2 linked regions of the Schizosaccharomyces pombe genome follow. The protein of the gene in region 1 interacts with the protein of each later gene in a pairwise test. Each region holds a gene or a part of one and is shown on either strand. Other genes may lie near its edges.

Region 1 (17,341 bases):
AAAAGTTGATGGGCAAAAGATGCCGGCATTGGTACGCGGCTAGAAATGCAGATATACCTCCAATTCTCAACACCCATGCTATACTATTGTCGGCGATGTCTCGATGACTGCCCTCCGATTGAATAAATACAATGGTGGCAATGATGGTGCTCAACACTTGGGGGGCAGATATAAATACATTGTGAACACCAATCATTTTGCCACTGCTTTCTCGTAATCCAAGCTTCCCTATTTCTGAAGAAAATAGCGAATATGGAATCCATAGAGTACATGCCCAGGACAGTCCACAGATAGCTACCATTGCCTGCGCTTGCCATGATGTTTGCAAGAATATCGTGCTCAACATACAAACACCAAAAAGGACATGGGAGCTCAACCACAGAATAGGAAGAGTAAGTCCTTTGATTTGTACCTTGGAGGATATCGTTGTCATAATTGATCTACTAGACGGTAAAAGCCTGCGTCGTGAGGGCTCATTTTCCGAACGGAAAGAAGTTGTTTCGCTCAAATTACCAAGACGGGGTGTATTAGTACCAGTTCTTATATTTCCGAGATCGTTTCTTTCTTGAATGTTGTATTCATTATTAGATGCATCACTCGATTCGTCCTCCTCATCATCCTCCGTGTCCTCGAGCAACAATGGAAGTGCTGTATTTGCGGCAAGAGAAATGATAGCAAAAAGCAGTAATGCGAACGACCCTTGACGAGTCGCCATGTCCCAATCTTCTTCATGGCCTTTAGGAGCATGGCGTAAATATAAAATACCCACATAGGTAGTAATATAAAACAAAAATGGAAACCATCCAAAGTATGCAAAAAATTGAACAAAACAAATTCTTTTTAATGTAAATGGAAGTGCGGTAATACTTTGTCGCATAGTTGTAAAAAATTCAAAGATTTCTCCAGCAACCGATTTCTCGTGTTCAACTGGTGGGAATCTCCTTTCACTCACAAATATTGTTGTGATGGTAACTGTGAGTACCAAGGAAATGGAGGCAAGTACGCAAAACACCTGTAACTGTGTGAAATTGAGAAAGGAGAAGATGCGATATAGAGGTAAATAGCCTAGTAAGTACCCAAGCACATTGCCTACACCTATCATTCTTCCAGCCCAGGAATTTGCTTCATGCTGTTGATCTGAACGGACTGAATCAACAATTAAAGATCGAGTGCTAGCCATTACTAGTTATAAAGTTAGTCATTTGTATGAACTACTACTCTGAAAACTAAATCCCTAAATTCACATACCGACATTGACGGCCACGTCAAGCAAATAAATGCTAATCGTAGCCAAAACGATAGTAACACGTTTCATTAGAACCTCATTGCTAAATATAAAGAGGCAAATATCAGGGGCCCAGCCCATAAGGAATAAGCTGAATGTTCCTAACAAACTAGCACAGAGCATGAACGGTCTCCGCCGACCTATTCTTGAATTAACCCGGTCGGACAATATACCAGCAATTGGCTGAATTAATATTCCAGTCAAAGGACCGGCAATCCATATAATTGAAGTCCATTCTTTACGAAGACCAAGTGAGAATAAATACGGTGTACCATAACCAAGTTCAACCGACCAAGTCAATTGAACTCCCAAAAGTGAAACTGTAAGAGCTATTAAGTAGAGGGAAGAGCGAGAAGGGATAGACTCTTTAAAAGGTGATGATGCCTCATTTTCGGAGGATAGAAGTTGTCCATTCTCCAATTGATTTTCATCTACAGACATATTTTAATGAAACTAAGCTTTAAAAGCAAAAGAGAAATGAGAGGAACGTTTGGTGGAACTTCTTTGGTAAGAGATATCTGTTCCTACAACAAAGTTCAGGGGGATTCAATTATGATTGAGAGAAATGATTTTTTAATTTTTCAAAATAATTGATCGCTGTCTAACTTGCAATGAATGTATCTGATCCTTGATAGCATACAACAGGCCACAATGTTTTAAATGTTAGTCAGAGAGAATAATTCAAATGATAGAAGTATAATCGAATATGTGATAAAAATCCTTCTAATTTCGGGGATTTCAAGAATTATTATATTGATTTTAGCAATGTTTGAAAGTATTAGACATATAATTTTTCACAACGATACCAATCCCAGTGATGCTCGAAAGTTTCAAATGGCAATTTGTAGATTAAGTTCGCAGAAAAGCAGAAAACTAAAGAATCCGATTGAAAGTTCAACGACGAGTCACAAAAAGAAAGGATACGTAAGAAAATGTTATGAATGTCTGCAGATACAGGTTAGTTGAACAAAAGCGATTAAAATGAACATAGAACAAAGCATCGTGTACTTACTTTGAAATCGTCAATAAGCAAAAAGCTTCAATTTAAAGCAATAAGCAAGGAATAAGAAATAATAATAAATAATTAAATAATTCCTTACTAATAAAGTACCTTTTAAAAGTATGAATTCTTATGAATCCTTTCAAATTACTACACCTTTTAATATGCTTGGTTTAGAGGAGCGACTCCATCAGCCCAGCTCCGCGTAAATGTCATGTTGACGTTACACTGTGATTCTGCACTATAGGACATTACACCGCGGCACACTGCATTCCTGTATAAGTCAAATGCTTTTTATCTTTTTGAAATATCGTATAAATAGATGCCGTTAAGTCCTAATGATGATTAGTATATTTGAATCTTAATTTAATCATTAAAACTATATAGAATATTATCAAATTTAAACTGCACTCATCAATTTACTAGTAGCTATCGCACTTCCAATATTATTATAAGAATATGTATACATATCAATAAACATCTCCAGGGGCGCATTCTGAATACAGCAATATTCCGGTAAAATGGAGAACTTTTACGGTATTTTATTGCATCCTTGAAAACTAAAGAGCAGTTCGTAGCGAAACGATATATATTTAGCGAAACACAATGTTGCAATCAGTATACTCGTAAGCTATATTAACGTGATTAAGTATATACATAAATATTGTAAAAAAATAAGGAGAACGCAGCCATTCCTTATAACGATGAATAATTCTTCTTATGGTTAATGTACAGAGTTAGACATATTTATGATTGACCTAGATAATTGTCTATGCTACTCAATAGCTTTCTTTGCACGTGTTTATTGGGCCTGAACATAAATTGGAGAAGTTAAAATATTGCCACGTTCGAGCAATAGTAATTTAAACTCAATGGTGTTATCCGCGCATGGCTTGTCGCTCAAATACTTCTCTTGAATAACATGGAGCTTAAATATAATTCTTTTTTAGTATTCAAAACAATATCAATCCGCCCCTAAATTCCTAAATAACATTGCATGGTTTTCCATAGACAGTGCTATTCTCTTCGTCAGCAGGTAACATGCAACCCAATGGACTTTTCGTAAATTTTTTGAAGAAAAATCAACAAATTTAAAGTGATATAGGGGAGCTACGTGCTAAAATTCTTTTTTTTTTATTCTGTAAATTAATTTATTTAATACATGAGATCATTATACTGTGCTGTGAGTGTTGAGATGCGTCTACGGGAAATTTGCAATATGAACTTTTTACTTGGTAGAAAAATCCTGTCAATACATGTTTAAATGTGAAAACAAATACTGGAATCCATTTATTTTTTAACGAATCATAGCATACCACTCTGGTAAATGTAAATCTTGGAATTGCTTGGAATGGTACTACCTGCCTTCCCCACACTCATCAGAGAACTACTACCAACAACTTCTTACAGTAAGTACAGAGTAAGATGGGGGACAATCCTTGGGTTCTCCAGGAACAAGTCCTCGTAGAACTTTCAGAAGTGATAAAGAATTCACTCTCCGAAAACTCTCAGACTAGGAATGCTGCTTTAAATGTAAGATTTTTTTTTTCTAAAATTAAAAGTTTCTTTCTCGTTGTAGAAGATGCTTCTTTTTACTTCACGTGTGTAACGACGTGTGAAGAAGAAATCAAATGGCATAACTAACTTTATTATAGTTGCTTGAGAAAGCAAAGGATATACCAGATCTAAATAATTACCTTACTTGCATTCTCATCAACGCTACGGAGCTTAGTGTTTCAATTAGATCTGCTGCTGGTCTTTTGTTGAAGAACAATGTTCGTGTTTCAAGCTTAGAGTCTGGTTCAGGTTTGCAGAGCCTCGATTACACAAAGTCAACAGTTATTCGCGGTTTGTGTGACCCTGAACAACTCATTCGAGGCATATCTGGTAATGTGATCACTACAATCATTAGTCGTTGGGGAATTAGTACTTGGCCTGAAGTATTGCCACAATTAATGGAAATGCTTTCTAGCCCTGCTTCTACCACTCAAGAAGGAGCATTCAGCGCCTTAACTAAAATATGTGAGGATTCGGCTCAAGAGTTAGATCGTGATTTCAATGGTACTCGTCCCTTGGATTTTATGATACCCCGGTTTATTGAACTTGCTCGACACGAGAACCCAAAAATTCGTACGGACGCCCTTTTCTGTCTGAACCAGTTTGTTCTAATTCAAAGTCAATCTCTCTATGCCCATATTGATACATTCCTTGAAACATGCTACGCCTTAGCAACAGACGTTTCTCCAAATGTGCGTAAAAATGTCTGTCAAGCTCTTGTTTACCTGCTCGATGTCCGTCCTGATAAAATTGCACCCTCCTTGGGAAGCATTGTCGAATACATGTTGTACTCTACTCAAGATTCTGATCAGAATGTCGCATTAGAAGCTTGTGAGTTTTGGCTTGCAATTGCTGAACAACCCGATCTTTGCTCTGCTTTAGGTCCTTATTTGGATAAAATAGTCCCCATGCTTCTCCAAGGGATGGTTTATTCAGACATGGACTTGCTGTTACTTGGTAATGATGCTGACGACTATGATGTTGAAGATAGAGAAGAGGATATTCGTCCTCAGCATGCAAAGGGTAAATCGAGGATTACCTTGAATACCCAGGGACCAATTACTCAACAAGGTTCTTCCAACGCCGATGCTGATGAATTGGAAGATGAAGACGAGGATGATGATGAATTTGACGAGGATGATGACGCTTTCATGGATTGGAATTTGCGAAAGTGCTCGGCTGCTGCACTGGATGTTTTATCATCGTTTTGGAAGCAAAGGTTACTTGAAATCATTCTTCCTCATCTGAAGCAAAGTCTTACGAGTGAAGATTGGAAAGTTCAAGAAGCCGGTGTTTTGGCCGTTGGTGCCATTGCAGAAGGTTGTATGGATGGAATGGTTCAATATTTACCAGAATTATACCCTTACTTTCTTTCGCTTTTAGATAGTAAAAAGCCACTGGTCCGTACGATTACATGTTGGACCCTTGGTCGATACTCCAAGTGGGCTTCGTGTTTGGAGTCCGAGGAGGATCGTCAAAAGTACTTTGTCCCACTTTTGCAAGGATTGCTTCGCATGGTGGTTGATAATAACAAAAAAGTGCAAGAGGCTGGTTGCTCGGCTTTTGCAATTCTGGAAGAGCAAGCTGGCCCTTCGTTAGTTCCTTATCTAGAACCGATCCTTACCAACCTTGCTTTTGCATTCCAAAAGTACCAACGCAAGAATGTGCTCATTCTGTACGACGCAGTTCAGACCCTCGCTGATTATGTAGGATCTGCTTTGAATGATAAACGGTATATCGAACTATTGATTACCCCATTACTTCAAAAATGGTCCATGATTCCTGATGATGATCCTAATCTTTTCCCTCTATTTGAGTGTCTTTCATCTGTTGCAGTGGCTTTGCGTGACGGATTTGCGCCATTTGCAGCTGAAACGTATGCACGCACGTTCCGAATTCTTCGCAACACCTTATACCTAATCACTACTGCACAAAATGATCCTACAGTTGACGTTCCAGATAGGGATTTCCTTGTTACTACATTGGATTTGGTTAGTGGAATTATACAAGCTTTGGGTAGTCAAGTTAGTCCTTTGCTTGCGCAAGCTGACCCACCACTCGGTCAAATCATTGGCATTTGTGCCAAGGATGAGGTGCCGGAAGTTCGTCAATCTGCTTATGCTTTGTTGGGAGATATGTGTATGTACTGCTTTGACCAAATACGCCCGTATTGTGATGCTTTATTGGTGGATATGCTTCCCCAAATGCAACTTCCTTTGTTACATGTGAGTGCATCGAACAACGCTATTTGGTCAGCTGGCGAAATGGCTTTGCAATTAGGAAAAGACATGCAACAATGGGTAAAGCCGTTATTGGAGAGATTGATCTGTATCCTCAAATCTAAAAAATCGAACACTACAGTACTTGAGAATGTTGCGATCACGATAGGCAGATTGGGTGTTTATAACCCGGAGCTCGTTGCCCCTCACCTAGAGTTGTTTTATCAACCTTGGTTTGAAATCATCAAAACGGTGGGTGAGAATGAAGAGAAAGATTCCGCGTTTAGGGGATTCTGCAACATATTGGCGTGCAATCCACAAGCACTTTCATACTTGTTGCCAATGTTTGTCCTTTGTGTGGCCGAATATGAAAATCCTTCAGCCGAACTTCGTGATATGTTTCAAAAGATTTTACAAGGATCTGTGGAGTTGTTTAATGGTAAGGCATCCTGGCAAGCGAGTCCTGAAGTGCTCGCACAGATTCAGGCACAGTATGGTGTCTAAAAATTTCACATTTGAAAAGCTCAATAAGCACCTTTTCTTTGTTGCTTTTTTATGAAGGAAAGAGAAAACAAAATTTAAAAACAAAAAGTATGAAACAAGTTGTATGTATTATATTAGGATATTCAGGTGAATGTGGAAAACAGGAAGAAGAAATGCAAGGAAGACTAGATATTAATAATTTGCATATTGCACATTTGAGGTTACAAGAATGACGGAAAACAAAATTGGAAAAATAACCAAACCCAGAAGGGTTGGTACTTTTGGGTTTGGTTTTATTTAATAGTTCCGCCCAAGTATCGACGTTTGTATGTATGTTTCATGTATGTTTGCGGTTCAATGACTTTTGTAAGAAAACACAAAAAATATTCAAGAAGAACAGCATTTATCAAAGAATCATCATCTGAATCCTTTTATTTCTCGGCCATCTGTGCAGTGGGAAGGTTTTAACTTGCATTTCCCCTTTCGCCTAAGGATATTGAGGAAAGCAAAAACACCCGATGATTATCTTTCAATTGAGGCTGCACATTCAAACAAAAAAGGTTGATTTCCTGCATAATGGGTTCTGTTGCATGTACAATCGTTTTTCATCACTTACTTCCTGATGCGAAAATTCTTTTACTTAATATTATTTATTGAATTGAATTCACGTTCATGCAGTCTACGTAAAAAAATCAAACAACGAAAACTAATCATTGTAGTTTAAAACTTTTCCCTATGTTTCACATATGGAATGGAGCGGCAATAGTCTGGTAGAGCAGTCCATTTCAAAGTAGCGCATTCCATACTATTTTAATCATACATTTACGTCGGTTTAAAAGACACGAATAATGTTTAAAGGTAAGATAAATAAAATGTATAATAAAACTTGAGAGCGTTTTCTCTTGTTGATTATAAGTCTACCACACCTTGATGTCAATTAAGCTAATACTCAGCAAGTACAAACGCATTGTTCATTAAATGCATTTTTATCAATAATTACTATTGGAGTTCAGTCTTTTGCTCTCGCATAAAAATCCGCTTAAAAACTATAAAACCCGCTCAATCACAAATTTCTCAAAAAACCGCTATATTCGCGATTCAGCATTTGTCACAAGCTTCGATTGATCTCATACATAGCATTTTATTCATTTCATTCTCGAACGAACATTGCTGAATTCCATCGATCGATTAGTACGAATTCGAAGCTTAACGAACTTTTGTGACGAAAAGCTGGGTTAACATCATTCTTTACATGTCGCTGTACGTAAGGTAAAAACGTGATGGTGCTTCGGGATGTTGCTTATCATTACCACTCATTAATGTTATATCAGAAGTTTTTCATGGTATAAATAGTACTGTGTTGTTCGCATGTCGGGTTAGCAATACCATTTTAGTGAAAAGAATTTATAACGTTCTTTTCTTTGGTAGTTGAAAATATTGAATATTTCAAAAATACTCAATAGCATTGAAAAACAGCTTGGTTATATTCAATTTTGCTGAATCTCGTTGATTGCTTAATTGAATAATTATCAATTTCCTCGTTCATTAATTTTTGACTTTTTTCTTTTAATTTAATTTTATTTTTTTGTTCATACATTATGTTGGGATCATTTGTTAAGTTAAACAATGGACTTAAGTGCCCTCAATTTGCTTACGGTTCTTACATGGTGAATCGTACAAAATGCTTCGATTCGGTGTATGCTGCCCTTCAATGCGGATATCGACACATCGATTCGGCTCAGATGTATCACAACGAGGCTGACTGTGGAAGAGCCATCCTTAAGTTCATGGAAGAGACTGGTACGAAACGAGAGGATATTTGGTTCACTAGCAAGCTTAATGATTTAAGTGGGTACAAATCTACTTTGAGCAGTATTGATGCCAGTGTTAAGGCATGTGGCCTTGGCTATATTGATCTGTTTCTTCTTCACTCTCCCTATGGTGATCGTATTGAATCATGGAAGGCGTTGGAGAAAGGTGTTGAAGAGGGAAAACTTCGTGCTATCGGCGTTTCCAACTTTGGTCCTCATCACATCCAGGAATTGTTGGACAGCCATCCAAAGATTATACCATGTGTCAATCAAATCGAACTTCACCCTTTTTGCTCCCAACAAAAAGTCGTCGATTACTGTGAATCCAAGGGTATCCAACTTGCTGCCTACGCTCCTCTTGTTCATGGTGAAAAGTTTGGCAACAAGCAACTTCTCGCCATTGCTAGCAAGTATAACAAGTCTGAGGCTCAAATCATGATTAGATACTGTCTACAGCGTGGATTCATTGTACTTCCCAAGAGTTCTACTCCCAGGAGGATCAAAGAGAATGGCGACGTTTTCGATTTCGAAATATCTAAAGAGGATATGGAGAAGCTCTACAACTTGGATGAGGATTATCATTCGGATTGGAACCCATGCGTTTCCCCTTTATAATATGTTAAATGATCGTCTTGTAAGAGCAGAGAATGCATTTTATTATTTATTTCCTCTGCTATCCCTAGATATGCTAGTATGATAGAATTTACGAAACTCAATTTATGTCAGCTTATATACCAAACATGCATCCAATGACTGTTAGTATGAATTAGTATGAATCCGATATTACTTTTATCATATACGATCATAGATTAGAAAATTCGTATTACTTCCATTGATTTGTAAATGCTAGCATAATGTATCGTAAACTTATTAGAAACCTAAAGTACCTCATGGAAATGGCTCATTTTGGGTAGAAATATATTCAGACTCTTTACTATGTAGCTAATTAAAAGCAAATTCTACCCTAACTTTGGTTTTATCAATTCACACACTTCTCCAAGTACTTTTCGCTTCGTATATGCGACGTATGCGCACTTCACTCATCCACAACACCACACAATAAGACTCCATTAATTGCTTTCCTGTGAGCTCAAGGTACTAAAAACATGCTATTCTTAAAATCCAGCAGAGCATTTTCCAAACGACTGTTTTCTTCATCGACTGTTCGTTATAGAGATATTCAACGTTTGACATTGACTGGCAATTTAACAAAAGACGTTGAGCGTTTGCAGTCTCAAAAAGGAAACGAATATATGCGTTATACTGTAGCTTCCAATAATGGAAAAGACGTAGCCCCTACCTTTCACTCGGTTTATGTTTTCGATAGTTACAATTTCGACAGACTTCAAACTATTTTAAGGAAGGGAACGCGTGTTTATGTGGAGGCCGATGCTGTTTGGCGTTCCGTCCCAGCTGGAAATGAAGGATCTCAAGCGAAAATGAGCCTGCGACATGGTACGCAACATTGCAATGGTCCAAGTTGAAGCCTGAAGCAAAATTTGAAAACAGAATATAGTATTTACTAACCTCTCTTATTAGTATCTGCAGACGTTTTATTTTATCCTCGTAACAAAAATGGCGATGAATCCGGAGAAGAGACTCATCCTGAATTAGACGCAGATCCTATGATTAACAGCTTCTAAAATTCGTGTTTCTAGTTTAAAAATTTTCTGCACTTTAGACCGTTAATATATTTGGGTGGTATTTTTCTAGGGATTATTGAGTTTAAAAAGTCTCCTAATTCATTTTCTCTGCATTATGCACATACTTGGTATTGCTATGTATTTTTCATTTGATGTTTATTTCATTATTCCGCTGGAAATAATCTACCCATGGCTCTTCTGATTTGTTTTTATAGACAATAATGTCTCTGCTGTAATGTTTTCATTGCGTTCTAGGAATTACTTAGTCACCTTTACTCCTTCTTTTTCAAAGTGACAAATTTGTTAGTCCTTTACAGTAAATTAATAATCATTTTTTTTTATTTTAAAGTGTACTCTACGATTTGTAATATTCAGTTTCTTTAATTCTTTTCATTTAATGACTGATCCTCAAACTTCGTTAAGTTAGATTTCGCAGCCTCTGTGACTGTACACTACACTTCGTCAAACAAGCAAAGCTCTTTAAGCGCTAGCATTTTTACCAACAGCATCCACTATTGGAATGGCAGGTGACGAGTTAAAGGGCAAGAAGCGGAAATATAGAGATTCCCATTCCGGTGATGAAAAATCCGTTAAGATATTGCCTTTGAGTGAATCGAGTTTACCACCACTTGTCACGACAATTTCCGGATTTTATCCACCCGAAAATACCCGGTTCCAGCTTCTCAAAAAGAGCAATCAGAGCAACAGAGATGCGTCGTTAATTGGAAGGACAGAGCGTGTTCAATTTGAGGCTAAAAATCAATCAACGGCTACGGTTGAGGCAAATTACTGTTTAGCTGTTGCTGATAAAACTGGTCGTGTAAAAAAGATTGTTCCAGCAAAGTATCTTAATACTTTTGAAAGAAATATTTTGGCACTTCAGGAGAAGGACAAATTTTTGAAAAAGAAGCATGGAACTGTAAGCGGTACTGTTATGGAACAGCGTGCCAACTTGGGTTTGGCATTTGGTACAAGAAAAAGTCAAAAAGCTATTATGGAAGAGTCCGCCAATCGTGTCAAAGCTGAAACTTTGGGAGATGTCAAGGATCAATTGGTTAGTAATGTTCAAAAAGCTACTGAAGCACTTCCAACGCAAGAAGATATCGCTGCTGCTCAAGCGCAAGATCGCCCTATTCCTCCTGTCAATGTCGGTGCTGAATCCATTGAAGATGCATACAAATTGGAGGACATTATTCCCAAAGAAGAGTTTTCAGCTATTTACATTAAGCCTCTGTTAGAAAACCCTGACGAGCGCAATTGGGCCAAATTATTGCCGTACCGTCACTCCTTGTTTATTAATGAACGCTTCCAGCGATTACTTTCCATTGAGGAGGTTGACCAGAAGCGGGCGAGAATTTTGTATTACATTTCTCTTTTGCAAGCTTTTTTGTTTTCTCGTCGTTCTGTGGGCAACCGTGAAACTTTACGTAAAAAATTGGCTGATCCACCAGAGATTCTTATTGATGGGTTGATTAAACGTTTTACTCAAACCACCGGTATTGGTAGCGTCCAAGTATCATCTCGAGAAGTTGATAAAATCATATGTTATATTCTGGTATTGTGCTTAATCGTTGATAATTACTCAACTGATGTTCTTACCTTGGCAAATGACTTGAATGTCAAGACCATGAAGGCTAATGAGCTTTTTAGAACGGTGGGTTGTCGAATTATGGCTTACACCGAAACTCAAAGAATGGCTTTAGGTCTTAACAAAACTGATGCTAAAAATCATAAGCGTGCAGTATTAAAAATTCCCCTAGAGTTCCCTAAACCTCGACGTGGACGCGCTAGAAATTAGAGAAAAGTACAGCGTTGTTTATTTTCAAAAAAATGTGTGTGTGTTTTTTTAAAAAAAAAGAAGGACGGTATATATAGAAGAAACAACTACTGAAGTTCGTGATGTTCGATATCTCCACTGCTTATAATTGTTTTGGACGTCAAAGCGACATTGAGATATCCAAATAAAGTACCAACAAATTTTCAGAAACTTCTTATGGGAATACGGGATTAAAGGTGTTTTTTTATTATAGTGGAAGTACAGAAAATAATAAAATTTTGCATTGTATAATACTTTTGCTATAAGGCAAAGAAGGGTGACTTAGATGGTAACTAACTTTCAAGCAAAAAAGTTACCGTTTTACTCAATAAATCCTTTGGAAAGTTATAACATTGTTGTTTGACTATAGGGTAACAAATGACAATCGAAACTTAGATTCATGTTCAAAACCACCGTATTTATGATGTGCTAGGGGATGGTCTTTTGTATACAGTAATTGCTACAATCACCTGAGCATTAAATGAATTGGCAATAATATCAAGTTAGTATTAATTTTGAAATGGATTAATTATGTGGCCGTAAGTGTTTATGGTAATATGAAACAACACAAAGAAAGGAAATAAAAGGAGCGTGCAAATCCAATGATCATTTGAAACCATGATACAGTTGGTTTTAATCTTTTTCAGTATAACTTGCCCATAAAGCCACCAACTCGTTTCTCGTAACTGGCTCTGCCAAAATTAAACCGTCTCGTACAACCTGTTTAGCCTCTTCTATGCGATGCATTGCCTCCAAAGCCTTTGCTTTCCTATAATAACACTTTCCATAATTATTTCGAATTTTCAAAGCAGCATTTGCATCTGCTAAAGCTTCGGGGAATTGGGAAAGGGCAATCTCAGCAGCCGCCCGATTACACAACATAACACTTGCTTCTTCACGCGTAAGAATCGACGGTTCCCAAGTACAGCGATTCAAAGCGAGTTGTAATGCTAATCCATATAACTTTTTTGCCTCCTCATACTTTTTGCGTTTAAATGCCTCGTTTGCAGTTTGCTTCATCTTATTAACTTGGGTAGACAAGGCCATATTTGGCTTAGCAGGAGGATAGGGAGGTGGAATAAAAAAAGGATATTTAAACGTAGCTAATGACTTGGCGTATTCATTAACCTTTTTGCCCAACTCCAATTCCTTCCCACTCCATTTTGACACATCAACTTGAGGTGCAACCACCGATTCTTGTTTAGCAACCATCGAAGCAAAGTTTTAAAAGAAGAAGTAGTGAAGCTGCTCTTAATGTAAAGCACAAAGCTCGGATGGATTATTATGTACAAATAATTTAGAGAAGACAAGCAATGTTCAATGCAAGTAGTAAACTTGAAAGTGTTAGCAGAACGTGTCACAATACTTTAACACACATAAATACTAACTACGCAGTTTGTTATTTAATTTTAACGATGTGTAGAACTGCAATGAGCTTTATGATCTATTATATTGCAATATTGCAAAAAGCAGGTAATACAAGTAGCAACCGAGGACATATATAATATTTTATGTACGATCTATTGTTACCTATCATTAATATAGCTTTAACTAAACTGAGGAACGAGATTCAGCTGTACCTCTATTTATAATTGTTCTAAAGGGTGTTTTTAATAAAATTTATTTAGTTAGCGGATAGTTACCCATAATTATTAATAACCAGATCTCAACTGATATTCCAACATATCACATATAGTGATACGCAACGAAGTGTATATTAAAGTAGTGTAGTCTTGCACGGTATACATTTTTGCACATAATGCTATTCTTCATTATATGCAAGAGCACCCTGAACTGAGGTTACCAATGTAGTTGGTGTCTACTTCAATTTACGACTCACAGAAAACCCTTCAAAGGCTGAATTCTCTAAACCAACTGGAAGATAATGGATTCTTCTCCTAATGAGTTTTTGAATAAGGTCATCGGCAAAAAAGTTCTTATCCGGTTAAGTTCTGGTGTCGACTATAAAGGTATTTAACATGAATTGCGTCGGAGACAATGCAAGTTTGCAATTTGTTTCTATCGCTTTAACTTTTTTTCCGTTATTTAGGGTTTGTTAATACTAAACCTGTTTTTTAGGAATCCTCAGTTGTCTTGATGGTTATATGAACTTGGCCCTTGAACGCACAGAAGAATACGTTAATGGCAAGAAGACGAATGTTTATGGAGATGCATTTATTCGTGGAAACAATGGTATGGTATTTATATTAAAGTGCTTTGATTTCCTAACTACCGTCCAACAGTCTTATATGTTTCTGCTTTAGATGATTAGAGACGATTTCTAGCCCTTCAATACGATATACGATTATGGTACAAGATTGGTTAAAGTAATTTGCATAAAATACAAATTATCGTTAAAAAATACAAACACGTGTATACATAATAAGTTCTTATGCTAATGTTGAAAAGAAGAGCCAGAGTTCAATGAAGGATATATATTTGTAGATATTGATGTATCATTTAGAAGTAAATGTAATTTATAGCCCTTTAAAAAAAACCGTTTTCGTTAAACAAACACAGAGACGATGACTTTGGCATCATTTTTTTTTTTCAAGTTGTCATCAAATGAAACTATAATATACACTTCTTTTACCTTTGAATTTCTTCAATAGCCAAATCACCCATTTAGCCCATCTATAGAAACGAAGGGACTAGGGATATAGCTCCTGTATTTGTGAGTGAGAAGCCGCAATTCCACGTTTCCTTCTCCGTTTAAAGACAACTCTTAGACATAAGAAAAGGATAGCGAACGCAGCCAAAAAAGCAAAAAATAAGACAGATTTTGAATTTCGGTCTATCCAAATAAATACTTTAGCATCAGTGCCATGCCAGCTATCACCAGTAACATGTGAAAAAAATGAATTAGGTCCGTTTCCATAAAGTAAAGCAGGTAAGACGCGCACTGGTTCATGCGGCGTAAGTAAGTATTTACAAAATTGATAAGATAGGAATAAAGGTCCTGCACTGAGAAACACCGTGGGATATTTAGTGAAATAACGGTGGTTAAACTTTGACAAGTTATGTATCGCCTGATACAGAAATGGATGCTTTGGTGTAGCAGCAAACCAATCATTGCTATACCCAATGGGTTCCGTCGAAGGCAATATAAAAGTAGCTTTGCTTAGAAGAGGATCCATGGGTTTTTTACACCCAATATCCAAATCCATGTATACGCCGCCGTAATGATAGAGAATAAAGTAACGTGCAGCATCAAATTTCTGGATATTATAAGGATAGCTGTGGAAAACAGGCATAAACCAGGAATAATTTTCGTTCATAAAAGACATAATTTTTTCATCTGTCCATAAAATGAACTGCCAGCCGTTTTCATCAGGATGTTGGCGCCTGCAAGAGTTAACAGTATTAGACCATCTCTCTGGAATATTTTCATCCTTCCAAAGCTGGTGAATCACTCTTGGTATTTTTTCCATTTCTCCTGGAGCACTAGTATCATCTGATACATCCGATAAACTTAAGGTAAAAGGTTCAGTCGCTTTCCCTGGTACCATAAATCTCAATGTGTTATAAAGGGAATAGCCCCAGAGGATCAACAAAATAACGCCGCATATAGGTATTCCCTTTAAGAGAAGCTTGCGACATTTCCTTCCCATGATTGCAAACAGATGTAATTCACCTCGGCAGCAAAACGATAAAACAAAAGAAGCGAAAAAACAAGAAAGGTGATATGGTGAGCAAAATTCACTTGTTCTAATAAGAAAACCGTTGAAAAATAAAATGAATATTTAATTTGTTCACGATGTGCGCATAAAAAACAAATAACCAGAATATATGCAGTGATAGTGTTGAAAAGTGTTTCAGTAGAACAGAAAACCCAATATTAATAAATTGAAGGTTTAATAGAATTAGAAGCTCAGAATAGGTTGAAAAGAATAAATACGTTATGGGGATGGCTTAGAATCGCTGCATATTCAAACTTGACAAGTAACGAAAAGAATAAATTAAAGCCCGCGAGCACTTCAAATGCACAGATAAATAAAAGATATGTACAAACAAAGAAAAAAAATATGTTTGATTCTATACAACAGGATGCCTTGATGCTGGATGAAATGCAGTAGAGACTCAAAGACCCAAATGGTGTTATGATGAATGACAGCGTTTTCGTATCATAGCGTAATGTTCTTAATAAAAATAGAGAGATTTTGCGAGACTGGTGTCAGAAATAGATGAAACAAAAAGCAAAAGTAAAGAAAAGAAAAAATCAATTGAAAATGGAAAGACTAATTGAGGTTTATTTATCCGAATATATCATCAATTTCGTCTCGTCCCTTTCTTGCACGTTTCTTTTTTTTCTTGACTGTGGAATTTGAGTTTTTGGATTTACGTTTGGTACCTTGAGAAACAGTTATAGGAGAAGAAGACAAGAAGAGAGATTCATCTTGATTCTTGAGAAAAGAATTAGGAGAGGATACAGTCAGTTTCTCATAACTAGTAGAAGCAGGATTTATAGACAATGAAATAGGTTCCGTAGCTAGCAATTCATCGCGAGCTACAACAGTCCCAGTGTCTATGTCATCTTGAGACTGTAATTCCAATTTTTTTTGCTCCTTTTGACTAAAGACTATTTCCGATTGTATTTTTGCTTCGTACTCTATTCCGCCCATAACAAACCAAACGCGAGCTAAGATACCCAGCAAAACTAACCCTAAGGCTGGATACTGACCATGGGCAATTAAGTTTGTAAAATAAAAGTACGATTTCGGCAATTGTTCTAAAATAGCAATTTTCGCTTTTTCATTTCCATCTAGCGACTGCTTTAGTCTTCGAAGCAGCATTCGTACGTGTCTCCACCAAACACTTAGTCGATGCTGATTTCTATTCCTATACACGATTTTTTGCAATAAAACTACATCGTATTGCAATTCCTGCATATCGTTGGACTAGACAAATAGGTCGTACAAACCACCCAACGAGTGAGCAATGTGAACACGAACACGAACGAAGAAAGTATGTATGTATGAACAGTATCCATTAAATACATTGATGGATGAAAAGAAATAAAGTGTTGCTCAAGTTCTCGTTAAATCAAAATTTGGACGTTAAAAATGAACTGTTCGTATTTGACTTTAACGATTTTTATCATTTTCAATTTCTCTCGATAAGTAATCTTAACGAAAATATATTAGCGAGTAAATCAAGATAATAAACGACACCTGGTTTACGGGAGTGGAAGAAGTAACAGTCGATCCGGGCATTCCGCGGAACGAAGTAGAAACATATGGAGAGCTCATAGACAAAAACAAAAACAAAAGGTACAAATCAATGAAAAGAAATACAAAGAGTTCTAATACTTAGCAATAAAATCCGCTACTGGTCGATGCATCCTTTAGAATCCTACATGATTTATTGTGTCCTTTTTTGTTTCCCATTTTTTAATATGCCTGTTTTAAGATTTTGTAGCATTTGGTACCTGCCATTCGATACCGCCATAATATACTCGTGTAGCAGATAATTTTCACTTTAAGAATCCTTCAAAAAGCACCACTACCGTCGGCTGTTTCTGGCTTCT
Region 2 (16,556 bases), on another chromosome or scaffold:
ACGGTGCGTGTTGTATTGACGATTTTACAGCTAGGGCACTCGATTGCGATTTTTTAGTACACTATGGTCATTCTTGTCTTATACCTGTTGATCAAACGCCCATAAAGGTGCTATATGTTTTCGTGGATATAAAGATAGATTTGCAACATGTCGTATCATCTTTAAAACATAATCTACCCTCCAATTCTAGGTTAGCTTTGGTTGGAACTATCCAATTTGTTGGATCTCTCAACTCTATAAAAGACGCTTTGCAAATACAGGATGAAGACGGAAAGGGAGGTTTTTACGTTGTTATTCCACAAGCAAAGCCATTATCTCCTGGAGAGGCGTTGGGATGTACATCTCCCTATATTGAAAAAGGATCTGTAGATGCATTAATTTACATTGGTGACGGAAGATTCCATTTGGAATCTGTCATGATTGCTAATCCTGATTTGCCCGCATACCGCTATGATCCTTACTCACATAAGCTCTCTATTGAATCTTATGCTCATGAAGAAATGAAATCTATTCGGTATTCCGCCGTTGAGAAAGCTCGTACCGCTAAAAAGTTCGGTCTAATTCAAGGTACACTGGGTCGACAGGGGTCTCCTAAGGTACTCGAAAATTTAAAGAATACTTTAAGGAAAAATAATAAAGATTTCGTTTGCGTTTTAATGTCAGAAATTTTTCCTAGTAGATTGGGTCAATTCTCTGATATTGACGCGTGGATTCAGGTCGCTTGTCCAAGGCTTTCCATAGATTGGGGCTATGCATTTCCCGCTCCATTGTTGACACCATATGAAGCATCTGCTGCTTTTAATGTTGTTCCTTGGAAGGAAGTTTATCCTATGGACTTTTACGCTACCAATTCATTAGGTAATTGGACTCCAAATAATCCCGAAAATCGACCTCTGCCAAATCGCAAAAAAACCGGACCCGTTTCTTCTTAACGCTACTTGCCATTAATGGCACTAATACTTGTTATTTTTTAACCCTTATATTGTTCTTTATAGGTTTATTAAAATACCAATAGAATTCTCATCTGATAAATACAATATGTATTACATAAACTACTGCTTTAATATATTTATATTTAAACTATGCACCGGCAGGCGCGTCCCTCATTTTAAGGAAATTTATAAGTAACCAGCCCTACATGTTGTAAAGTAACGATTGAATGTGTCCAGCATACCCCCCTGTTCCATGGCGGTTATAAAATCAACACAAGCAATGCGAAATTTTTTTCTTGTTATGTTGTTCTAACTTTTTTTATGTGAGTAGTTCTAGTAGCTGCAGATAGGTTCAGGATGCTTAGCCAAGTAAGCCAATAGGAATGTTCTTGATCGTTATCACTCCGTCACCGTCCGATTCAGCTTAAACACTCCCATAACCCATTCTCAAAGTGAATCCCTTTTTCTCCCTTCTAATAGTGTTGTTATATATACTTATATATAATAAAAAGGTAGGTTAATAGCATCATATTACAAGTTAACACATTTTGATGAGAGAATTTCATGCTATGATACCGGAGCGGATATGTCTGCGCAAAAATCACTCCACTTGATTTGCATATATATCGATGATGGCAGAAGTGTTATTAACTCTTTTTAGATTCTAAAAGTTCCAATTGAAGCCAGAAGTGAACTAACTAATAGTTCATGCGTTTGATGCTTTAAGGAACTCAGTTTTCAGGGTTTAATTTATAAATATAAAAGAAAAAGGAATAAAGTAGAGCTGCTAACCCAACTCGGTTTTCCCTTTTATTTGATTTGAACAAATTTTTTTCTTCCAAAATTAATTTTGGCACCAATTAGTTAACTTTTTTCTGAACATTTTGCAAAAAAAAGCGAAAAAATGGATGGAATGCACATGAATTCCACGGGAGATAATCCCATCGAAATTGATTTCGAAAATTATGCAAATCACATGAACAAATTTCTTATGGCTCATATCATTTGCATGATAATTGCTTATGTATTTATCCTTCCTGCTGGAATTGTACTCGCTATGGCGAAAAGTAAAGCACATATACCCGTACAAATTGTATATGTTATTTTGACCCTTATTGGGTATATTTTTGCTCATATAAGTCATCACAAAGCATCGCCTGAAAATTATTACAAAGGAAATATTCATCGACCTGTAGGACGATTTTTCATGTGGATTACTTTCTTGATAGCAATAGTAGGCATTACAACTTCTATATTAAAGAAACGAATGTTGAAGGAGTACCAACCTGCTGCCGAGGCTCCAGGTGCGATGGAGGATCCTGAGCAAGCCCTTCAAAGAAATAGTTTAGATGACGGTGCACCTTTATTACCAAGAGAGGGTAATTCTTCTGATGAATATCTTCCACCTCAATCATCCCGTCGCGACGTATCATCTGAAAAACCATCAATCCCAAGTATCTCCTTCATAAATATTAGGTCATGGCGTACAATTCCTAAAAAATGGTGTGTCCTCCAGGTTCTTCGTTATTTCCATAGAATTTTAGGTCACTTATGGTTATATGTTGGCTTTTTTGAAAGCTGTACAGGAATTGTTTTGTTAGCTGGAATTTTTAAAGGACAACATATTTTCAATGGTTTGGCTCATTGGATTAAGGGCGCCATATTTCTTTGGTACGGCATCTTGTCCTTTGGTGAATATTTAGGTGCTTTCTCCGAGTACGGTTGGGCTTGGAATGTTGTTCCCAAGCAACTTTCTGAAAAAAGATTTGCTAAGTATGTACCCACTAAAGAAATGGTAGAGTCATTTTTGCTCTTTGCTTATGGTGTCTCAAATGTTTGGCTGGAGCATTTGGGAAATACTGATGGAAAATGGAATCATCACGATTTGCAACATGCATCATTAGCATTCATGCTTTGGTGGGCCGGTCTGTGTGGTATTCTTGTAGAATCTAAAGTTGTCCACCGGTTGTTAAATGCTACTTTATCAGCTACACTTGGTCAGCGTCGCTCTGAAGATTCAGAGCATTCGGAGAATGGCTTACCCTCATACAATGTGTTTCCTGCTCTTACAGTATTTTTCACCGGTATTATGATGTCTGCACATGACCAAACCAATCATGTCTCGACCGTCATTCATGTCCTATGGGGAAGATTATTAGCTGCGGCAGCTATAGCACGTATCTGTACATATATTATGCTATACTTGAAACCTCCCTCCTCTCCCTGGCCTACTCGTCCACCTACTGAAATAATTACCAGTTTCTGTCTTATTTGTGGTGGTGCTATGTTTATGGCTTCATCTTATGATGTTGTCAACAAAATTCGCTTGAACGAAATGTCACCAATGCTTATTATGAACATCTCTGTCGCGTTTACTTGTATTGTTATGGGGCTCGAAGTAATGTTCCTAATACTCAAAGGTTATGCTAGTTCAAGATAACTTTTTTGGTTCTAAATAGATTATTTTAAAGCAATGGCTAATGAAGTACTTTATTGGTCATTTGTGTTTGTTATTTTTTTTGGTTTTTTTTAGAATTCTTATTTTTTAGATTTCTGTTTGACTGTTGCGTTAGGTATAAGTTTTTTAATACTTTCTATAATAATATATGCCAGCTACTTTAACTTACAAGATAAAGAAATTTGGTTTTTGTCGTAATTTTGCTAACGTTTTTATTTTTTCGTTTTTATGTGTTTTAGAACATTACCGTTTGCATAGCCAAAGTAATTTATTACATATGAATAATGAAGCAATTAAAAAAAAATTTGACAGCAATAGTATTTAATAGAAAAGTAGTGATCAATTATTAAAAATATTAAGTGAAACACGCCTCAAGTGATTAAGTTAATTTTCAATCTGTGCAGTCGAATTAGATGAATAAGTAGCACCACTACGCTGAACGAAAAAAATAAATCAAAAATGAAGAAGTAGAATTTAAATGAAATAACCGAAACCCAATCATCATCATATTTATGAAACATGAAGGTGCATTGATTTAGTTGGAATATCAGCATGTTTTTGCTTACGCTTAACTCGGCACCACATACCAACATTTGAATCAGTGATGAATTGATAAATGATACCGCACCAACTCTTACAGTCAGGAATGTTGTCATAAAACTCAGGAGCTAATTCGCGCACTTTGCCAATGCGAGTCCATGCAACATAGGGAAAGTCGTGATGTTCAATATGATAACCAGCATTATAAACAAAGAAGTTGAGAGGTCCGTAATAACTAAAGGTCTCCAAAGGTGTTTCCTTACCAGGACCGGAGGCAATAAGACGGGTGCGGGTCATGTTGTAATGTTCACTTAAGAAATGACCAGCAGTTGGATGCAAGCTACCGGCTAAGAAAGAACTCATAAAGAAATAGGCTAATGCTCTCCATCCAACATATCGCACAACTAAATAATCGAAGGAAAACTGAACGATAATATTCCAAAAGTGCATTAAAGTGAAAGGAAGACGGCGAACAACAAGGGGACGGAATGCGTAGAATAAAAGCTGGAAAGTGCAAAAAAATGCCTTTCCAAGCACATTATCAAATAAAATAAGTTCGGCACGAGTGGGCAAATCAGTGTCCATACCATCAACACCTTGATAGGCATGATGTTCCATATGATAGGGCCGAAAGCTTGCAGCAAAAGGAGCACCTACAGGTAAATTAGCAAACAAACAATAAGCACGATTGTAAAGAGTTTTTTTAAAACCAAGGTTGTGACTCAACTCGTGAATGGCTAAAAAGAGATTTTGGTTGCAAAAGGCACCAATAAAGTAGGCAGTTAAAAAGAATTTCCAACTCAGTAGTGAACTTTGTGAAAGCAAGTAAGCACATGTGAATTGGAGAGACACCACGCCGAGAACAATCCACTTGGTCAAAGGTTCATAACCATTGAGAGAGGCGATCTCAGGATGGGCCTTCAAAATAGCAGCACGACGACTTTTATGAGGCTCTTCCGTGTATGTCCAGTAAAATTGATGAACATCTTCACTATCAGCATTCCAAGACTCTTCTGCTGGAGGTGGAACAGCGGTAGTTGTAGCAGTTGATTCGGCCATGTTTCGTTTCTAAAGAGATGCTTAACGAAAAATGAAACAATGCAAGTAATTATGTTTTATAAAAGACACAACAACAAGAAACTTAACAAAGTATTATTGAGGGTTCTAAACCAGATGTATCAACAACTTGTTCTAACAAACAAAAAAATATATATAATCTGGTTAGATTGATATGTTAAATCTAGTCACCGAGAGCTTTATGTAAATTTCAAAAAGCTCACGTATAGAACTAGGGAAACAATAGCTATTGAAAGATACTTGGCTATTCAGGATAGAGGAAGAGGCCAAGTAATATACAGCACACAAGTTTCGGAAAGTGACAAGGAGCTGGGCTCGTAAACAAATCTCAGGAATAACGCAATTTAGGCGAGTGGCTGAAAGATGAAAAGCGGCAACGTTTCGTAAACCTTGTAATAAACGGATAACAAAGCAAGGACAGTTAAGCTAGCTACGAACTAAGGCGCAATTGGACTTGTTCAAACACTAGGCAAAAAACCGTAAAGAAAAGACAAGCTTAAAGAGAAGAACAATAAGTCTATGAAAGGAAATTCTATTTAGCTGACAAATTCGATTGGCACAGAAAAATCAGCTTAATCTCTGTAGAATTCCAAACAATGCGTTGCTTTTCAATACAGCTAGTGGTGTATGTTGAAAAAAAAAGCGGGTCAATTAGTTGGGTGCAATTAAGTACTTAACACACACGAAATTTTGCTTCCTTACGCAACTGTTGCAAAATCCGAATAGGGTAGTAGAAAGACAGAACGAAGCAAATTTTTTCGGCAAATGCTTAGAATTCACTTCAAAGGCAACGTTTGTTACGATCCTCTACGTTAGGTTGGCAAAAAGGTGGATTGCGTTCTTGGCGATGTATGTATGACCGACTGGTTATACAATAACTTCTCCAACGAAATGATTTGCACTACAACTAACGGTATCGGCAAATTCAAACAATTTTTTGCTTCTATCTCTTTTGGTAGTTAAGCTCGTTAACCAATGCCTTAACAGCTAACTCGTATATATAAGACCACTCATTCTTTTTAAAGCAAAGAAGCGTGTACCAGACGACGGAAGGGGCGGCAAAGCTTTCACTTTAAGTGACAAAAAGCTACATCATGCTAACGGTTTAAAATACTCATGTTGGAAAGAAGTGGACACAATCATATGGTTCCGCGCATACCGAATGTAAAAGATGTGGGTGTGGCACACTAGTGAGGTCGATATCGGATCCCCCCACAAGGTACGAAAAAGGGTATCATGGGTAAAGCAAAGGTAGATGGAGATGGTTAGCTAGACTAAGACTTAGGAGTTAATGAGGTGGGGGAAATGAGTACTACGGGGGGGGAAGAGGTAATGTTGGGTATGTAAGTAAAGAATAATAGTAATAGTGGCTATGGAAAGTAATACAACATATACGGTGAGATGGGATGAACTGAATGAATTAGTATAAATTAAATGAACTTTAGTGAAGTTACATGAGACGGAATATAGTAAATAAAAAAAAAATAAAATAAAATAAATTTTGAAAATAAATAAATAAATTAAACTATGATGAATACATTTGTTTCCTAAAAAATATCTATTAATTTATTTATTTACATTTTACAAAGGAAGCATTGGAAAATACGAATGGTGAGAAATATGTTTAAAAGAAAAGCTTTCCATTTGAATACTTATTAGTACGAAAACGAAGTTAATGGAAAATAATAAATATAAAAAAAAAAAAAAAAAAAAAAGAATAATAACAATTTTCCTCAACTTTGCACAAGTTGTATGTATAATATACAAAGAAGTTTGGTCCGAATACCCATCATCTAAATAGCTTCTTAATAATCCCGTTCTATGCCATCTCCCCTTGACTGTCGAGATTTTCTTTTGTTTATTCTTTTTTCAATCAAGTTTTTATCTTATCGCTAGTCTTTGTACACAAGTTTTTCCTTCGCATCTGCAGTAAGCAGGAACGGAAAGGAAAAAGGGGTAAGGAACAATTAGGGTTGCTTTGAAATTTCAATGCTCAAATTCCAACATGCCGTACGGGAAATGATCGGGAAAACTTTCCGCTTTTTTAGCAATTTCAAAAGTAAAATTTACTACTTGTAACATATACGTATTGAAATTCCGCCAAACCTTCGTTACCATTTGTCTAGCCTCCGAAATCAGTAAACAAGGCAAACCGTCTATGTTCCTTAGTAAATAAAAAAAAACTGTCGCTTTGTAATATTCTTTTGTTCATTGGGTAAAGCATTTGGGGGTCTATGTATCTAAAAAGAGTTAAATTAATCTATAAAACAATTGCTTGGTTGAAAAAAACATGATTGTATTTCTCTAAATTTACGAAAAAGTTTACCTTTTTTGTCAATCCGCTAAATTTACCAACCTTATGATATTAATATGAAAACGAAACCTGAAGCGGGTTTCCAATAAACCTATCTTTTTGAGATGATTGTTATTTGCACCGACTATGAAATAAATAAACACCATCATCTATTATGCTAATTTGTGCAACATACTTAATTAACAAGTACTCTACTTAATTTAAATCATCATGAGAGAAAGTAGCAACTTGATGAATAATTTTATGTAATTATTTTGTTTTTTATTCCTATTAATATTTTGGTATTTGATGTAATCAATTCAGCTCGAATATATATTATTTTATTTTATTTTTATTATATCATCTAATTAACAATAAATATATTTCATCGAATTTTCTTACGAAGCTCGTTCATTGTTTCATTTTTTTTTTTCTTTTTTCTTTTTTTTTTTAAATTATTTGTGACGTTAGTCTGTTACACTAATACCCGTGACTTTAGAAAAAATGAGTTATAGAGGAATTATTAGATACATTATTACATCGTGTTTCGGAGAATTACAGCAAACCCCCATTAATGGTGCTCTTACTAACATTCACAGCTTTCATTCGAAAACGCATTTTTGTTTTGCCATTAACTTTTATACTAAAAAAATAGGGTAAAAGTTAGAACAAGTGAAATAAAATCAAGTGAGAAAAGGGATTATATTAAATAAAGGAAAGATTTAGACTTTAAAAAATAAAAAAATTGTATGGGTTCCATATATCGTTTTTTTTAATTAATTTACCCTAGTTTTTCAAATCATTGTACTGTAGCAGCGATTAGTACTTGCACACACCATTAAAGAAATCAAAAGTTCAGTTTTCAAACTCCAAAACTTTCAGTGCAGCGTTTTTTTTTATATAACTCTGTTTATTATATATACATAAATTTTTTGTCTTTCTTTAGTTCTTCGATTCAACCTACGCTCATAGTCTCTTTACAGACAACCTACAGCATTTTCGTCAAAACTAAAATTTTCTAACAAGTAGGGAAATAACTCAGAACATAAAATATACAAACACTTCTTATTTTTGTATAAATCGGTTCTATAACACTACTGTCTTTAGAAAAATGTTAACACAAGACGAGGTCTCCGCTCAACTGGGTCAATATATGCTCCGCGGCTATACTCTCTTGGATACCATTTGTCCGAAATGTGAAAAGGTAATTAATTTTGTATTTAGTCGTTGTTTAAACTTCAGGTGAATACAATGGCAAACGGAATGATATTAAGGAAGTCAGTTTTCTTTTCTCAAAATGCTTTTGCTACCTTGGTTTTTAAAACAAAACCAATTTTACTATTACCCTTTTTCTAACACTATTCTAGGTACCTATGATGCGACTTCGTGACAACCCTATGTTTTGTGTTTCATGTATAAACGACCTAAAGGAATCTGATGCCTCTGAACATGTAACAGTCGCTGAATCTGCTCCAAAGATAGCTTCCTTACCTATATCTAAAACAAATGATGCGGAAAGATCACAGCAAACAACAAAGGCGCCAGTTATGGAAAGAACTGAATCAAGCCATCAAGCCACTTTAAGCGTCTACTCGAGGCTTATTTCAGAGTTGGAAAGTCAGCTTGACGATCGTCTTCCTCTACCACACAATACTGAATTCCTTGACGTATCATTACAAAGAATTGAACGTATTTTAAATTTGATTTCACTTGCAAAATCGCTAATGTCGTCTTAGGTGTTTTTGTAAACAATTACAAGTCATCTATAATTACAGGGTAATTGACTTCGGTGAATATCAATTATTTAAAAGAAATACGAGATTTGCAAACGAGTTAAGTCCTTTAAGTCTGTTTCAATAAACCGCATAACTTCAAAACAACTGGCAACTATGACATTAGGAGAGTTTGTCAACATGAACCATGCATCTCACATAATTGTGTGCATCGAAAATTATACATGTAATGATTTTAAAAGAATTTGATATGTAAATACTTATTCTTGGAAAGAAAACACCTCTAATTAACTTTCTTATGTACGGAGAAGTCCATGAAAATAATAGTGTGGAATAATGAGTTGCTTTATTTTTAACAAAATTAAGTTTTTATTGCGTTAAATTCGCAAATAAAACTTGCCTACCCCTTTAGTGGCTCCTCGTAACTAAAAAGAATTTTTATATTTGTCAACTGCATATCAGTATGGCTAGAAAGAAGTCGAGAAGCTCTTCTACTCGGAAAGGTTCTTCTTTAAAGGTACCAGAAATAAAGGAGAAAGAAAAGATAAACGCAATCAATACATACGAAGATGTTGCTAATTCAGAAGATGAATTCTATAACGCACAGGATAAAATTTTGTTTGATGCTGACAACGGCGAGCAAGCAGACGAATTAGAATTAAGTGATGAAGAACTTGTGGCTTTAGAAAGTTCTAGCGATGAGGAAGATGGGAACGCCGAGGAGAATTTATCAGAAAATGAAGAGCTCTCGGGCAAAAAGAAAGACGCTGTTAATGAGGAAGAGTTATATGATAATAAAGGTTGGGGTCGCTCTGCAAAATCATATTACGGTGGGGATGATTATGACAATGAAGACTACTCTGAGGAGGACGATGAATTTGACGCACGAATGGAAGAGCAAGAAGCGTTGCGTTTACAACGTAAACGTCTTGAAAAAGTCAGCGAAACTGATGCTATTGATGATATTAGTCAATGGGCTGATAACAGTGACCTAAAATCTATAAAACAGGATTCCTCTGCTGCTGCAATTGAAGAACTTGTTCAGCAAATTTCACCTGATCTCCCTCGTACAGAGCTTTTAAAGATTCTAGAAGCTAAACATCCTGAATTTCAATTATTTTTAGATGAATTAAATCAATTGAAACCCCAGTTAAATGAAATTAAGGAGAAACTTAAGACTTATCCATCTTCTCAGCTACTTCAAGCTCAATGCACCGCTCTGAGTACTTACATCAGTTTTCTAACATTCTACTTTGCCCTCTTGAAAGATGGAGAGGAAGATTTAAAAAATCATCCTATTATGGTTGACCTTGTTCGTTGCAAACAGACGTGGGAGTCTTATTGTGGGTTAGATGAAGTATTGACTCCAACTTCTCTCGAGGAAGATGGAAAAACTATCGAGCTTCACGAAAAGATAGCATCGGCATCTGACATTGGTGCGTCCGAAGATGAAGAAGATGTTGATATGCACGAATCAATCAGCGATAATGAAAATGAGGGCATTAAGGATATTCCAGTAGCTGAAGATGATGATATTACTTTGAAATTTCGAGCCGCTAAATCTAAAATTAATACTAATATTAAAAATCTCGATGACTATGGTGAAGGCAACAGATTGGACGATGTTGATGCTGAAGACAAGATTGCTAGGAAACGCTCTTTAAAGTTTTATGCTAATCAAATTGACCAAAAGGCAGCTAAGCGTTCCAGAGCGGTACTGGAGTTATCAGGTGATTTGGACATGCCATACAAAGAACGAAGATTTGAACGCCAGCAGCGATTGATGAGAGAAGCTGCAGCCAGGGGTCGAAATCAGGATGCTGGTGCTGATCTTGATGATGAAGATCCGGAATCAATGGGCATACCTGCAAATGTCGATCGTGAAGTTGAAGATCAAGATGATTTGGATTATTACGAGTCTCTCGATAAAAAATCAAAGATGGCTAAAAAGCTCCGTAAAGAAAATCACGATCTCGAACGTGATTTAATAAGAGCTTCAAGGCACCCAGAACTAATTGAATTAGGTGAAGGTGATAAGCGTGGAATTACTTTAGACATTGCTAAAAATAGAGGATTAACTCCCCGTCGACCTAAAGAAAATAGAAATCCTCGACTTAAAAAGCGTATGCGCTACGAAAAAGCTAAGAAGAAATTAGCCAGCAAAAAGGCTATTTACAAGGGCGCACCACAGGGCGGCTATGCTGGTGAGCAGACTGGTATTAAAGCTGGTTTAGTTAAAAGTATTAAACTTCAATAGAAGTGGTGGTTGGTATTGATTCAACTATTAATTCTGCATATATTAGGTTTTTTGAATTTTCGTGTTATTAGATACATATAATAATAATGTGGTTTTGGGTTATGTTATTTGCTAGAACAATGTCGTTAGCCTAGTGATATGATTTTAAAATGCTAAAAGTCTATGTAATCTGGTTTATAATCATTAAATCATTTATAATCCTTTGCCCATCCTGATTAAGTAAGTTGATTGTAATAACAGATTGAAAAGTAAAAAAAAAAGAATCAACACTTAAATAGAATAAACATGTTTATTAAAAGCTTGATTTAGAAAGAAATTTCATAAGTAAGTTGCCTTCGTAATTGCTGCGAACATCAGTGCAGAAACTAATCTTTCTTAAAACATGCGTTTAGTTTATTAGAAAGAATTTCTTACGATTAGGCTTACATTAATTGACATATTATCAGCAAAAAGAAACAAAAATTATTTAACTGGAATGGCCCAAATGCGGTCTAGGAAATATCCAAAAGGTACCCTTTTGAGGTTATAACAAAGAAGTTTGATGATGAGAAAGGAAAGGCACCCAAGATGTTAATGCAGTAGAAAAAGTTATTTTAGACCATCGTTACTGGTGATAAATAACGAGTAAATTACTCACGAAAAAAAAAAGGAATCATGAAAAGCACTTATTTTGCGAGACGAAGCCCCAAAAGATCTCGCACATCATGAACATATTGCAGTGCATGAAGAAAAGAAAGTAAGTTTAGTAAATCAACGTCAGAGGGGTCGCTAATCCAACCTTCAATAGGTATGGCATTTTCTTTATGAGCATTGTAACTGGCTGGAGAATTATCAATTATCATGATCCGTGAAAGATGAATATTACAAATGGAAATATCTTTAACGAAAGAACTATCGACAAGTGCACAGTGTTGACGGTAGTATCGTTTAGCAAATATTTTTTTATCACGCTCCAAATAATCAATTATTGGATCAGCATATGGCTGGACAGATGCTGTGAACAAAATAAGGCGAAACCATTGACTCACATTTGATAAAAAGTAGTCAAGATGAGGCCTTTTGTGAATATAGTAAAGGATTGGATGTTCACCAGGCACATGTACTTCAATTGGCTGTCCAGAAGTCGTTCGACTACCACGAGACACGGAATGGATAAGTGTTTCATCCAAATCTAATACAAGGGTCTTTCTCGGTAACTTGCTATTCAACAAAGGCCTCGGTATTTTGTCCGCACACAGAGTAATGTTTCTAATACGGAGACGGGAAGAAGAAGGAGATTTAAGAGGATCATTAACTATCGTAAAGGAGGAAGGCAGCTTAGAAATATTGTCATTAGCAGGCGGGGAAAACTGAGTTGATTGAGGTTGATGCGAATGTCCTGAACGATTGGAATTTGCTTTTCCCATTAGGGAGACCTCTTTGGGTTTCATAGGAGAAACACACACATCTTCTTCTGAATTCAATGAATTTGAAAAAGAATTGAAAGAAATTTCTTCTTCTGCAATAGAGGGCTGAAAACGAACATGATTTCCATTAGAAGAACTGCTATAAGAATTAGAAGATCTATGTCGTTTGAAAGATGAATAGGCAGGATCCTGGTGAGAGGATGGGTAAGAATAAGAAGAATAAAACCTAGGACGGCGGACACTTGGCTGAGGGGGAAGCATCTCTCGGCGTTTATACGATAATAATACAGGAAAAAAGACAAACCGGCATAGACCCCAAAAAAAACTTGCAAGGGTAAACTCTTTCTCTTCATTCAAAAAGTGGTACAAAAATACACGAGCGGAATGAACGAAAAACGTATAAATTCGTTTCAGGAACACACGAATCCAGTAGACGACAACACGCATAATGTTGGCATGCTTCGGTTTTTCATTCCTTGTAGGAACTTCCTTTTCCGTCGGTTTTGATGACAAACTGCTAAGGCTGGACGCCGAATAAGACGATCTACGACGATTATAATGCCTCAAAGTAGCTGATGAAGCTCGCCCCCGAGCATTAGCAAGTTTTTCTTTGTCAGCTTCATCGTCGTCTAAAGGAGTGGCAAGGATTGCTTTATTAATTTCATCTGATAGCCTAGCAATCGAATTCATTACAATTATTTTCTCTCTGCTGCGATTGCAAAGAATTAAAAAATTCACCAAAAGAAGCGATGCATACAAAGTATACAACGACCAAGCAGAGTCCTTTTAGTAAAAAAGAGTAATTAATTAAATATGTGTTAGTTAGACCTAAAATATGTGGGAAAACAAAGCCAGAATCACACGGTGGTACGATGCACAATATATATAATGATGAACTACAACCCAAATAATAACATTTTCATAAGACGTAATGCTTAAGAAGATATATCAAAACTACCTTAAAGTAACAAATTTAAATGTAAACAATACGGTGTAAATATTTATTAAGTTCGTAAAATGAAAGTTCATTGCAGAAGCTTTCATTTTTTTTAACTAATAAACTTTACTTGTATGGGTTTCTGTGCAAGAAAAATTAATTTTCATTTTATTAAAAGTCTAAATATTTGTAGAAGCTAGCTTAATTGCCATTCTTTTAATCAACGTTTTGCTAGAATGTAAGTCGCCGAGCGGTCTTTTTAGGTTTCTTGACATTACTTGAAAGATGCTTTTAAGTCTAAATATATTTAATGGTACGTTAAAATGTATCAAGCTCCTTTAGACGTTGCATACAATAAATTACTTACAAATAACAGGCTGAACTAACTTATTGACTTTACAAAATTATAAACATATCGATAAAATTGGTTAAGCGGACACTAAAGAGAATTCAAAACACTTGCTAATCTGAATATTGCACTCTTCCTCAGGTATCAGCACCTCCTTACGTATTTTTTATGAAAAGGGAAAACTGGGCTAATGCAACATTCGTAAACCAATTTATCTATTGCTAAATCATTCCAAAATCGTAAGCGTTTGCATTTCATTGTAAAGGAGATTGTTTTGTTGCTGTGTTAATCTACATGTAATTGATAGCAGCTTAGAGACTTCGGAGAAGAACTCCTCTCCTACTTGAACACTGTCTTATGACTAATTTAAGTATTACTTTTAAACTTCATCTTTTTCTAGTAAAGAGAAATTCTCAGTTAACATAAATCAATAAATTGTTCAATTGAAAGCATGTAGTCGGTAGGAGTTATATTTTATATAATTATATAATGGTTTAAAGATAGCACTTTAAATATATTATAGTATAACAATAAAGTCAAGTTCTTAACTATAGGTGAAATTACTCCAGCATTGCTTCCTTGAAACACTGATTACTTGCTTTGTCGCTAGGTTGCTCTTGTATTGTCGTTAGATGTGTTTTTGTAAACACAATTCAATCTAATTTTATTTTTCTAATTATCTTCATGTCAACATGGCCTATTGATGCAATTAGTAAAAAACCTAGTGTAAGTTTGGATTATGGAATTATAGGGGCGTGTCAACTTTTAAATCCATCTGGCTATCACAGAGCGGAGAAGGTTGAAAATAATGAATGGACTTTTGCTAGGTATGACTCCTATACGGGCGTCGAGCTTGTTGACTTGGACAAAAGATGGGATATCTTATCTTTAAATCCAAACTACAAACTCCCTAAATTAACTGAGCTTCCTGCTGAGGCCACCAATTCCACGCGTAAAGCGACTAGTAGTTCATTTGGTTTAAGTGTTTGCAGATATGTTCCGCGAAATTTATTTTCTACACTAGCGAAAGAGTCTCAATTAGCTTCTTCTGCTGAGTCTATATATAATCCACATATTTTAAATACTTTTTGCTTGGGTAAAACAGCGCCATCAGATAAAAACAGATACACCACAACTGAATGTCTTGCTTGTAGCAAGATTAGCAATGAAACTGCGGAAAATCTCCTCTTTTTATGCCTCTCGTCTCCATGGATTTTTCGTGCATCTCCGACATTACAAAATACTGCAACTTTTGAAGAATTCCCATTTTACTTGAATGTATCGGCTTTTGAGTTTGCTGAGGATCCAATATGGAAATTCTCACAACCAGTGAGACAATTGGTTTTCTCTAATGGAGAACCAAGTTTGCTCTTCGCATTATCGTCTTGTGAGTTGGTTATATTCCAGGTAACTTATGATTTAATGTTCTTAGATGAGCCAAATACACCTGGATGCTTGTCCGCTATACCTCTGCGTTTTTTGTACGCAGATGATGTTTATAATTCTGACTCGTTTGCTAACGTGTCTGTCCATCCCACCGATAATTCATTTTTTTTAACAACTTCATCATCTGGTAGATGGACCATCTGGCAATTCTTAGATGATGGGTACAGGGAATGCTTCGGTAGTTCTTTCAAAGAGTCTTTGCAACAAGCATTATGTTCTGCACCAACAAGTTCCATTGCTTATCACGAAGAAGAAATAAATCCCGATAATACAATATATAGAGCTAAATGGGAAGAGTATTTTGGCGGTGTCATTTTGCATAATGCTTTTTTTATTCTTCATGTGTCTCTTGGGGAGGTACCTGATTTCCATCTTTTATTCCACTGCAGTTCAGATGTTAGGATTCTACAAGTGGTAAATGAATCTATGCCTATTAAATCTGAGTTTTTCATTTTAACTACCGAGTCCGTCTTGTGGATGGATATTCAACATCCTCAGAAGCCGCTACTTGAATGGAAACATAATAGAAAATTAGATCCTACTTTGAAAATTACGGTTACCGCTACTTTTTCTCAAAACATCTATGTCTCTGTTTATTCTCAAATGAATGGTGTTGTCCAACAAATTCATTTTTCAAAAGACAGAGCTCTACCTGTATCAGGTAGTCATCCATTTCTATTATTAAATGAGGTTCAGGTTCCCATAAGATCCCTCATTATACAACCTTGTTATTTTTTTGAGTCATCTGAATTTGACAGACAAGGTCCTTTTGATTCACCTTTTTGGTCTGCAATAATTGATAAGGCTGACGGATCTCTTTCCTTACATATTCTTTGCGAAAAAAGTTCTCTTAAAATATATAATTTAGAGGAGCTTACTGGTTCTAGCCAAGTTGCTATGAAATTTAAAACTATCACCCCTTCTGTAAACACTAGTGAAGATGATTCGGCAAATGATCAAGAAATAATAAGCACTCCGAATTCCGATTTTCAACAATTATCACTGTCACGGTTATACCATGTTTTGTGCTCTAATAGGAACAAAAAGAATACTATCACCCTTGATGAATTCGCTAGCAAAGTTCCGGATTTTGTAGAAGCTTTTGATTCTATCAATCACGATGTTATA

Evidence for each region.
Region 2: the proteins of SPOM_SPAC2F3.05C (region 1) and SPOM_SPBC3B8.08 interact in a two-hybrid assay, tested with the Schizosaccharomyces pombe proteins (one large-scale study listed by BioGRID).

The regions. Positions count from the first base shown.
Region 1 is NC_003424.3:3,920,438-3,937,778, reverse strand, and holds SPOM_SPAC2F3.05C (xylose and arabinose reductase), read left to right. Parts: upstream 1-7,846; 5' UTR 7,847-8,142; coding exon 8,143-8,970; 3' UTR 8,971-9,154; downstream 9,155-17,341. Other genes in the region: plasma membrane sucrose/maltose:proton symporter Sut1, read right to left, coding at 1-1,182, 1,249-1,726; SPOM_SPAC2F3.07C (uncharacterized protein), read left to right, coding at 1,946-2,251; karyopherin/importin beta family nuclear import signal receptor Kap104, read left to right, coding at 3,711-3,818, 3,941-6,565; single-strand DNA-binding protein Rim1, read left to right, coding at 9,462-9,810, 9,895-9,998; DNA-directed RNA polymerase I complex subunit Rpa49, read left to right, coding at 10,519-11,796; sec67 (translocation subcomplex subunit Sec72), read right to left, coding at 12,448-13,026; U6 snRNP-associated protein Lsm6, read left to right, coding at 13,700-13,784, 13,894-14,007, 14,058-14,086; inositol phosphorylceramide mannosyltransferase activity Imt1, read right to left, coding at 14,466-15,425; rmp1 (ribonuclease MRP complex subunit), read right to left, coding at 16,068-16,703.
Region 2 is NC_003423.3:3,370,295-3,386,850, reverse strand, and holds SPOM_SPBC3B8.08 (uncharacterized protein), read left to right. Parts: upstream 1-8,279; 5' UTR 8,280-8,411; coding exon 8,412-8,504; exon of another isoform or gene 8,505-8,667; coding exon 8,668-9,036; 3' UTR 9,037-9,142; downstream 9,143-16,556. Other genes in the region: diphthamide biosynthesis protein Dph1, read left to right, coding at 1-932; SPOM_SPBC3B8.06 (uncharacterized protein), read left to right, coding at 1,837-3,372; dsd1 (dihydroceramide delta-4 desaturase), read right to left, coding at 3,901-4,989; U3 snoRNP-associated protein Utp3, read left to right, coding at 9,497-11,290; Nem1-Spo7 phosphatase complex catalytic subunit Nem1, read right to left, coding at 11,956-13,386; RNA polymerase I transcription factor subunit Rrn6, read left to right, coding at 14,667-16,556.